Linked DNA regions of Danio rerio. The protein of the gene in region 1 purifies or fractionates together with the protein of each later gene. This does not show direct contact. Links are inferred from orthologs where the notes say so. Each region holds a gene or a part of one and is shown in the gene's direction. Other genes may lie near its edges.

Region 1 (4,236 bases):
AAAAGCACTGCTTAATAGAACTTGAGTGATTGTTGATAGAACTGGTGAATGTTGTAGCAATTACACTGTGTAACCAATGGGTGGCGATAAACAATCATCAAAATGATGTCACTGAATTGGTTTTCAAAAATGATAATCCAAAAACGAAACATAAACATTAAGTTTTATGTGTGAATTGTGGAATCATTAATTGAAAATAAATACGATATGTTGTACAAGAAGTTTTTTAGCTGTTTTTTTCTTGATTTTTATTTTTATTAAAATTACAAGTTCTAAGTTCTGTTTGTTAAAGCCAATGGATTTTGCAGTAATATTTTTGTATGAGTGGAAAGCAAATGACATTTGTTTCTTTCCTTTTTTGCTGGTCCGAAAAATGATCCGATCTGTGACCAAACCATGAGATTTGTGATCCGTAACACCATCATAAATCTTATGTACTGTTAAAAAAATTTAAAGGTGTAAAATAACAGAAGATACTGCCACCTCATTACTCAGTTTTTGTACTGCAGTTTATATGATAAGCTATCACAATATCTTCGTTCAAATTAGAAATATCAATAAAAGTAAAGGTTGCTGTTGTTTTTTTACTTGTTTTTCAACATCAAAAGTCTTTGGAGCAGAAACTAATTATCCATAATTCAGTTCAAAAGCATTAATGTCTTTCTTTTTTGTCATTCCTATTTCATTTTAAGAAAATGCAAAGCAAATGTGACAAGTTGTAAAATTGTGTTTAAAATTAACGTTAGGCTAACTTTAAAATATGCCTAACCTGTAAGTTAGGGCAGAAACCGAGTAGACATGGGACGAGAAAACCGCCAAAAATTTCTACTATACCGTTCCAAAGGTATGTGTAAGATTTTTTATTTACGTTTTTTTGTGTGTGTGTGTGTGTGTGTGTGTGTGTGTGTTTTAGGACAACATGGTCTCCAAAAGAAAAGAAATCCAAAGATGCCTCTTTAAATTGGGGGCTGTTGTTTTTTACCCATGCATTTAAAATTAATACATTTTACAGCAGCAATCCCATGATATTTTTATCCAAAGTTATCATACCGTCATAATCGTATACCAGCCCATGTCTATTCGAGAGTAATAGTTTTATATTATAATATTTTAAATGCCATAGGCCTATTTTAGGAATAGAATTAGGCTACATACAGGCCTTTAAAAAAAATACTTTTGCTCCTTACGATATAAATTACATGCATGCAGCCATACCGTAAACATCAAAGACGATGTGTTTGAGAACGTTCGTTGCTTCATAATATGGGGATGCTCATAGTACTTGTATGTTTTTGGAAGATTGTCAAATCGACGAGTAGCTGTCCTGAATAGTTTTGAGTGTTTACAGTTTTTCTCCAGGCCAGTAGATGCCGCTGAACCCTGAGCCACACGAGCGTTTCCTCTCGGGGAAGTTCTCGCGTGAACATCCTGCAGACAGTGGACTGAAATTTCTAAAGCTCTCATAGTTGTCAACAAATCTCTGCGGAGTTGCATATCTACATTAGCATCGAGCAGACCTAAATGCGAGCCTTCTGCATGCAGAAAAAGCACCTCACTTGTGAAGAAATTTGCGCCTTTCAGTCCTAGCAGCGCGCTCGGTGGAAGTTCCTGCCTCTTTTCTCTTATTGGTGTTGCTTTAGCTAGTTAGCGTATCTCCCACAGCCGCCCGGATGCGGTGAAGCTCCGCAAATTTAGCTTCAGCTCTGGCCTTCCGACGTGCACGAACGGCTTCAATTATGTCAAGCACTCGGCAGCAGCAACAGCAGCAGTCCGGTGGTGCAGCGGGTTCCGTCCCTGGGACAAGCTCCGGGAGTTTGTGTAGCCTCAGCAGCAGCGGCGGCACCGGCGGAGCAAACAGTGGGAACAGCGCCGCTCAGAACGGGAGCAGCTCGGGTAACGGGGTGTCCTCGAGGACTCTGGGCTCGGTAGCCGACGGACAGAGCGCTCGTCTGGGCTCTTTAAGCAGGAAAAGACCCTTGTATAACGGTCTTATCAATCCCTATGAAGACAAGAGTAATGATTTTGTATGGTAAGTGCATTCACATTCCCTCACATGGCTAAATTCACTCGATAATGAAGTGGTAGTATGTTTGTTTTGAACCACATGTGGGCTTAATTGCAGGTGTACCTGGCAAATTCTGCTATTTGGTTCGTGCTTAATCCTTTAATACCGCGAGTAAGGCTAATTGATAATTGTCAACAGGGAGTTAAAGGGATAGTTTCCCTTTAAATGAACAGTCTGTCATCAGCTTTCAAACTTTTTCGAAGAAAACATTATACACAATGTTTGAGTGTGACAGCTCTATATTGTCAGTTTGTATTGTCAATCCCACAGAAGAAAATCATATTATTTTAAGAACTGTTGACATACACAGAACATTGAAAATGTAGTGTTGTTTCTTGTAACATTAGATTATATAACTAGAAATATATAGAAATTAACAAGAATCTTGGCAAGCATATTTAGAGTCTCAGTTGACCTATGGATGGTTTTAGTTATTTGAAATATTTTGTTTTATAGTAGTTTATCTGTTCTACTGAATGACGATGAAACAAATTCAACCAGATTTAATTTTTAAGTTGTTTTACTTTCCTCTAATATGATGTTTGTAAGCATTACACATCTGTTTGCAGTTTAATTTGATGTGGATGCCAACAACACACATTTGCCTTTATTTTGCACTCAAGTTATGCTAATAATCAAATGTTCCTAAAAAGATTATTGGTCTCCGGTGGTCAGTGTACTAAATACAATAACAACCTTGTAGTCTTCAGTATTGCATTGAAAAAAGGGAAGCAAGTCTTGTGCATGTAATTTCATTATTTTTTCTTTTTTTTTTTCTTTCTTAACAGCCCTATATGTTTTGAGATGATAGAGGAAGCTCACATGACAAAGTGTGGCCACAGTTTCTGGTGAGAAGCCTTTGTTCTCTAAACTGAGAGGTTAACCTTGCAATTTACATTGCATTTCATGCCCATTTACAGGCTTTGATCAAACATTTTTTCTGTATATCTGTTTAGTTATAAATGTATACGACAGAGTTTGGAGGACAGCAACAGATGCCCAAAATGTAATTACATAATTGACAATGTGGATCAACTTTACCCCAACTTCTTAGGTATGTAAATGTTGATGCATGTCATCTGTTGTATTTTGTTTATTGCCACCACCTACTGTATAAGTTTCTGAAAGATATCAAACATGACATTTGATTGATTTCTTGAGTACTGACTTCATTCTGTTGTTTTTACAGTGAATGAACTAATCTTGAAACAAAAACAGAGATCTGAGGAGAAGCGTCTAAAACGGGATCACCCTGTAAGATCTCATTTTTTATATGAGAACTAGAAATTATTCAAACAAATTTAATTTCAACTATTACTGATTGAAGAGCATTGAAATGTCCTGTTTCATCTGCTTTTCATAGAATGGAACCAAATGGCAAGTTTTCCAGGATGTTCTTGGGGCTGATCAAGAGAATATGGATTTAGCAAATGTCAACTACATATTAGAGTACCTGCTGCAAAAAAAGAAACAACTGGAGGCGGTTGGTATACGTTTTAAATATATTACATTATTGTAACACTTCAGGGTTCCTTGGGAAAAGTCATCTTATGTGAACATTTCACTCAAATAAAAGCTGAAAATGGCCAAAAAACAGCTGCATGTGGTATTTAGACACTAAAGTTGGGTTTCTACAGAGTCCAAATTAATGTAAATATCACTTCAGGTATTTTATCACATTTTTAGGGCACATGGCTTGTAAATGAATCTTTAAATAAATCCCATGTAAAACTGTTAAAATGTTACAAGTGTGCTTTTCTCGCTTAGCTTGGTTTGTTTAGGAAGTTGTGAACATTGCTATCACTGCACTGATCCAAACTAGAACAGTCAGCCTGCAATTGCAGGAATTGCAGTCTCAACCCACTTAAAATCAAGGTCTGGATTGGTTTACTTGTGGAAAATGACACACAAAGTAATAGTGGTGTAATGGTCTCAAAATTTACAGCTCAGTTTGATAGAGCACAATGGTGGCATGGTTCGGTTTGAACTTAACCCATCTTCTAAGATGTCTTCTTAGCAGCATTTAAAACAAGTAAAGTGCAATATTTTAGTTGTTTTTTTGTTTTTTTTTTACAGTAGTTTTTTTTTACATGGCATGCAATGTGTTTTTACTTTGTGACCTCACAGATCTTCTTGACAAGACAATAGCTATGTTTCCATCCACCTATTTT
Region 2 (3,500 bases), on another chromosome or scaffold:
AGGTTTATTTTCCTCATATAAAATATAAAAAACGTTTATATACTGAGGTTTTTCTGATCCCATTACTTTGTGCTTTGTGGTTTTGGAAAATATGAACAGTTGTTTAAATATAATGTTAACATGTACTTTTTCTGGGAATTTATGTTTTAACTTTTACTGCAAATATCACATCCATGACACTGGAATTGCTCAATTACCTCTCTTTTTTTCTCTTATAGGAGAAATAAGCTTCTATATCTGTCTGCTACCCAATTAACACATTTATGACTTTATTTTCTTTTTTTAAAAATTTTAATTCAAGTCAAGTTTACTTGTATAGTGCTTTTTTTTTCTTTTTTTTTTTTTTACAATAATTATCGATACAAAGCAGCTTCACAAAAGATTCACATTACATTTGTCAAAATCAGAAAAGTTAGAGTTGTTTTAAATTCAAAACATGATTCATAAATACACAAATCCAATTCGTAACTTCCAAAACGAGATTCGGAAATACACAAATCCAATTCATTTGCTGAAAATATTATATATAATATAAAAATAATATAATTATGCATTTACAAAGAAGTTTATTTGTGTATCAAGTGTTTGTTGTTTTTGAAGTTATCTTAAAGTTGGCATAATCTTTTTAAATCCTTATCTTAAAAGTCTTTTTTTTTTTTGCAGTGATAAAGCTGTTATTATGGCTGCTCACCACCACCTCCACCACCACAACACATCAGAAGACGATTTCCCCACTCTCAAACCAAGACGCATCCAAAACCAGAATGTGGTCCACCGGCTAGAAAGGCGTCGGATCTGCTCTGGCCCGGTCGGTGCTCACTGGTACCGCGTGCGCTGCTTCCACCAAAACCTGTTTCCCAACTTTACAGTAGTGAACGTAGAGAAGCCGCCCTGCTTCCTCCGCAAGTTCTCTCCTGACGGACGATGCTTCATTGCGTTCTCTTCCGATCAAACTTCCTTGGAGATCTACGAATACCAAGGATGCCAAGCCGCCGAAGACCTTCTCCAGGGTCAAGAGGGAGAAACTCTGGCCAACGGAAATGACCAGCGTTCCTTCAACATCAGAGGTCACCTCTTCGAACGCTTTTTCTCTCTACTTCACGTCACTAATGTGGCCTCCAACGGCGAGCACTTGAACAGAGAATGTAGTCTTTTTACTGACGACTGTCGTTATGTGATCGTCGGCTCGGCTGCTTATTTACCTGAAGAACCTCATCCGCACTTTTTTGAGGTGTATAGAAATAATGAATCAGTGACTCCCAATCCAAGATCTCCTCTGGAGGACTATTCTCTGCACATCATAGACTTGCACACGGGACGGCTGTGTGATACACGCACCTTTAAGTGTGACAAAATCATTCTATCGCACAACCAAGGACTGTACCTGTACAGCAATATTCTGGCCGTGCTTTCTGTGCAGCAACAGACGATACATGTGTTTCAGGTGAGAGTTGGAAAAAATTAGGAGACATAACTAGAAAAGACTTAACTGAGTTAAAAAAAAAATCAGTCTTTTTAAATACTTTTTATTAGGGCTGTGCGATATGGGCAAAAGAAACCTATCAAGATTTTCTAGAACAATATTGCGATTTCGATTTTAATCATAATTTTGTTTCTGATACATATTACTAAAGGAAAACAATTAGATCTTTATCAAAGACCTGTAACACTCTAAAACAGACATAAGACATACAAAAAATGAATATAACCTAGTAAAGGTATAACAAATTGTCTCTAGAACAGACAACATGGTGAAACAAATAGGCTACTGTGTGTGCGTACTCAAGTAAGTCTCCAATGTTATACTTGACCACATATCAGAATTAGTTGTGAGTACTTTTCTACGTTTTCACAGATTTGTTATTTTTATTTTTTGCCTTGCATAGATCATAGACGCTGCTGTGAAATAGGCCGTTCACATATTGTGTCTTTTGCATGCACAAGTTTGTTATCTTCAATGGAGGCGTGCGAATTGCGCACCTATTGGGAGCGAAGTGCTCGTGTATTCCAGGCTCACCAAGATAAAAACATCTAAACTGTTCAGAATGCCACACCGCGAGTCATATAAGTTAACAAGAAATGACTGATCAACTTTATAATTCATATAGAATATACACATTTAAGTAGACTAATTAGCTAGCGCAGACAAACACAGAGCACCCAAACACTTCAGTGCTTTTCAATTTTCTTCATAAATTTGTAAAACTTGTATCAGAGCTGCAGCAAAGTTTTGTTTGTTTGTCATTCTCTGAGAAAATGGTTGATGATCGCATAGCAATTATATACGACAAAGGAGTGCGTGCGCAAATCATGTTGAAAATGCAGAGATTTCCACATGCTTTTAGACATGATCGGGACTGACAGATCTTACAAATTGCCTGGTTCTGCGATTAGGCATAGGCTGGTATAAGATTCTGACGTTATTTTAGCCTTGGATAAAAATATCTTGGTTTCACTGTATTGTGATTACTGCTCTAAAATATATTCCTTTTAGATGTCTGGGTAAAAAAAAAAAAAAAAAAAAAAAAAACCTTTTCACCCTTTGAACACAATACATTTCATTTTGAGAAACATTTAAAATATTTTGGAGCAGTAAACGTGTCAGGCTGAACAATGAAAAAGAATCATTGAGTTCTGCTGTTTTCTTTAGTTTCTAAAACACAGATTTCTTTACTTTACAGATTTATTTAAAATGGCATGTTTGGATATCTTTTCTGCTGGAGATACTGTTGTCCTAACAAACAAACAAACAAAATAATGTAAATAAAAAAAATCTTACATATACCATAGGAACAGTATAGCAGAAAATTTTGGTGGTTTTAAAACATTGAATTTTCCCACCCGTGGTATACCTTATAACGGTTATTGTCTCATGCCTATCTGCGATACATCAGCCTTCCTGTATCCAAAGTAATCCAAAGTAATTGACTTTTTTGAGCACCAAGTCCTCCTGTAATGAACTCATCATCCCTGTTTATTCAGACTATTTGACATTAAGCTCAGTCTCCCATTCTCACGCTCTGCTTAAGAACCCTGTGTTATGATTGGTTCAAATAGCAAACTGTGGGAGATGTATCAATCGGGACTGGAGTGAGCAAAAAAATAGTCCTGTAAGGCGATTTAGAAATTGTGCAAGTTTAAATTGCAATTTTGTTATGATTTTAATTATTTGCACAGCTCTACTTTTTATACTTGTATTTACACATGGACTTTTTTTTTTACTTCGCTGTCATACAAATGCAAATTGCAATATTAACAACAAAATAAAGAGGGAGAGAGAGATCGGGAAATATTATTTTTAAGTTGCATGAATAATTTTAATTTAACTAGAAGAACTATCACTTGTAGGAACATTTGTCATTTGATATTTGTATAATTTGGGGGTTAAAGATAAATATGAAAAATGCAAAAAAAAAAAAAATTCCCTGTAAAATCTTGAAATATTTTGACTAATTTTGTTTAGTTGTAACATTTTGTCCAATAATATTATTATAATATTT

The links. The genes of interacting proteins can lie anywhere in the genome.
Region 2: the proteins of cop1 (region 1) and det1 purify together in Homo sapiens (affinity purification with western blotting; 11 studies listed by BioGRID and IntAct, counting the BioPlex papers as one, with this or other methods). This does not show direct contact. The link is inferred for Danio rerio from reciprocal best matches to the Homo sapiens genes COP1 and DET1.

What each region holds. Positions count from the first base shown.
Region 1 is NC_133177.1:38,090,524-38,094,759, forward strand, and holds the start of cop1 (E3 ubiquitin-protein ligase COP1), read left to right. Parts: upstream 1-1,436; 5' UTR 1,437-1,736; coding exon 1,737-2,029; intron 2,030-2,853; coding exon 2,854-2,913; intron 2,914-3,021; coding exon 3,022-3,119; intron 3,120-3,254; coding exon 3,255-3,319; intron 3,320-3,428; coding exon 3,429-3,548; intron 3,549-4,236. UniProt on the Homo sapiens protein: E3 ubiquitin-protein ligase that mediates ubiquitination and subsequent proteasomal degradation of target proteins.
Region 2 is NC_133200.1:13,239,849-13,243,348, reverse strand, and holds part of det1 (DET1 homolog), read left to right. Parts: intron 1-663; 5' UTR 664-679; coding exon 680-1,444; intron 1,445-3,500. UniProt on the Homo sapiens protein: Component of the E3 ubiquitin ligase DCX DET1-COP1 complex, which is required for ubiquitination and subsequent degradation of target proteins. The complex is involved in JUN ubiquitination and degradation.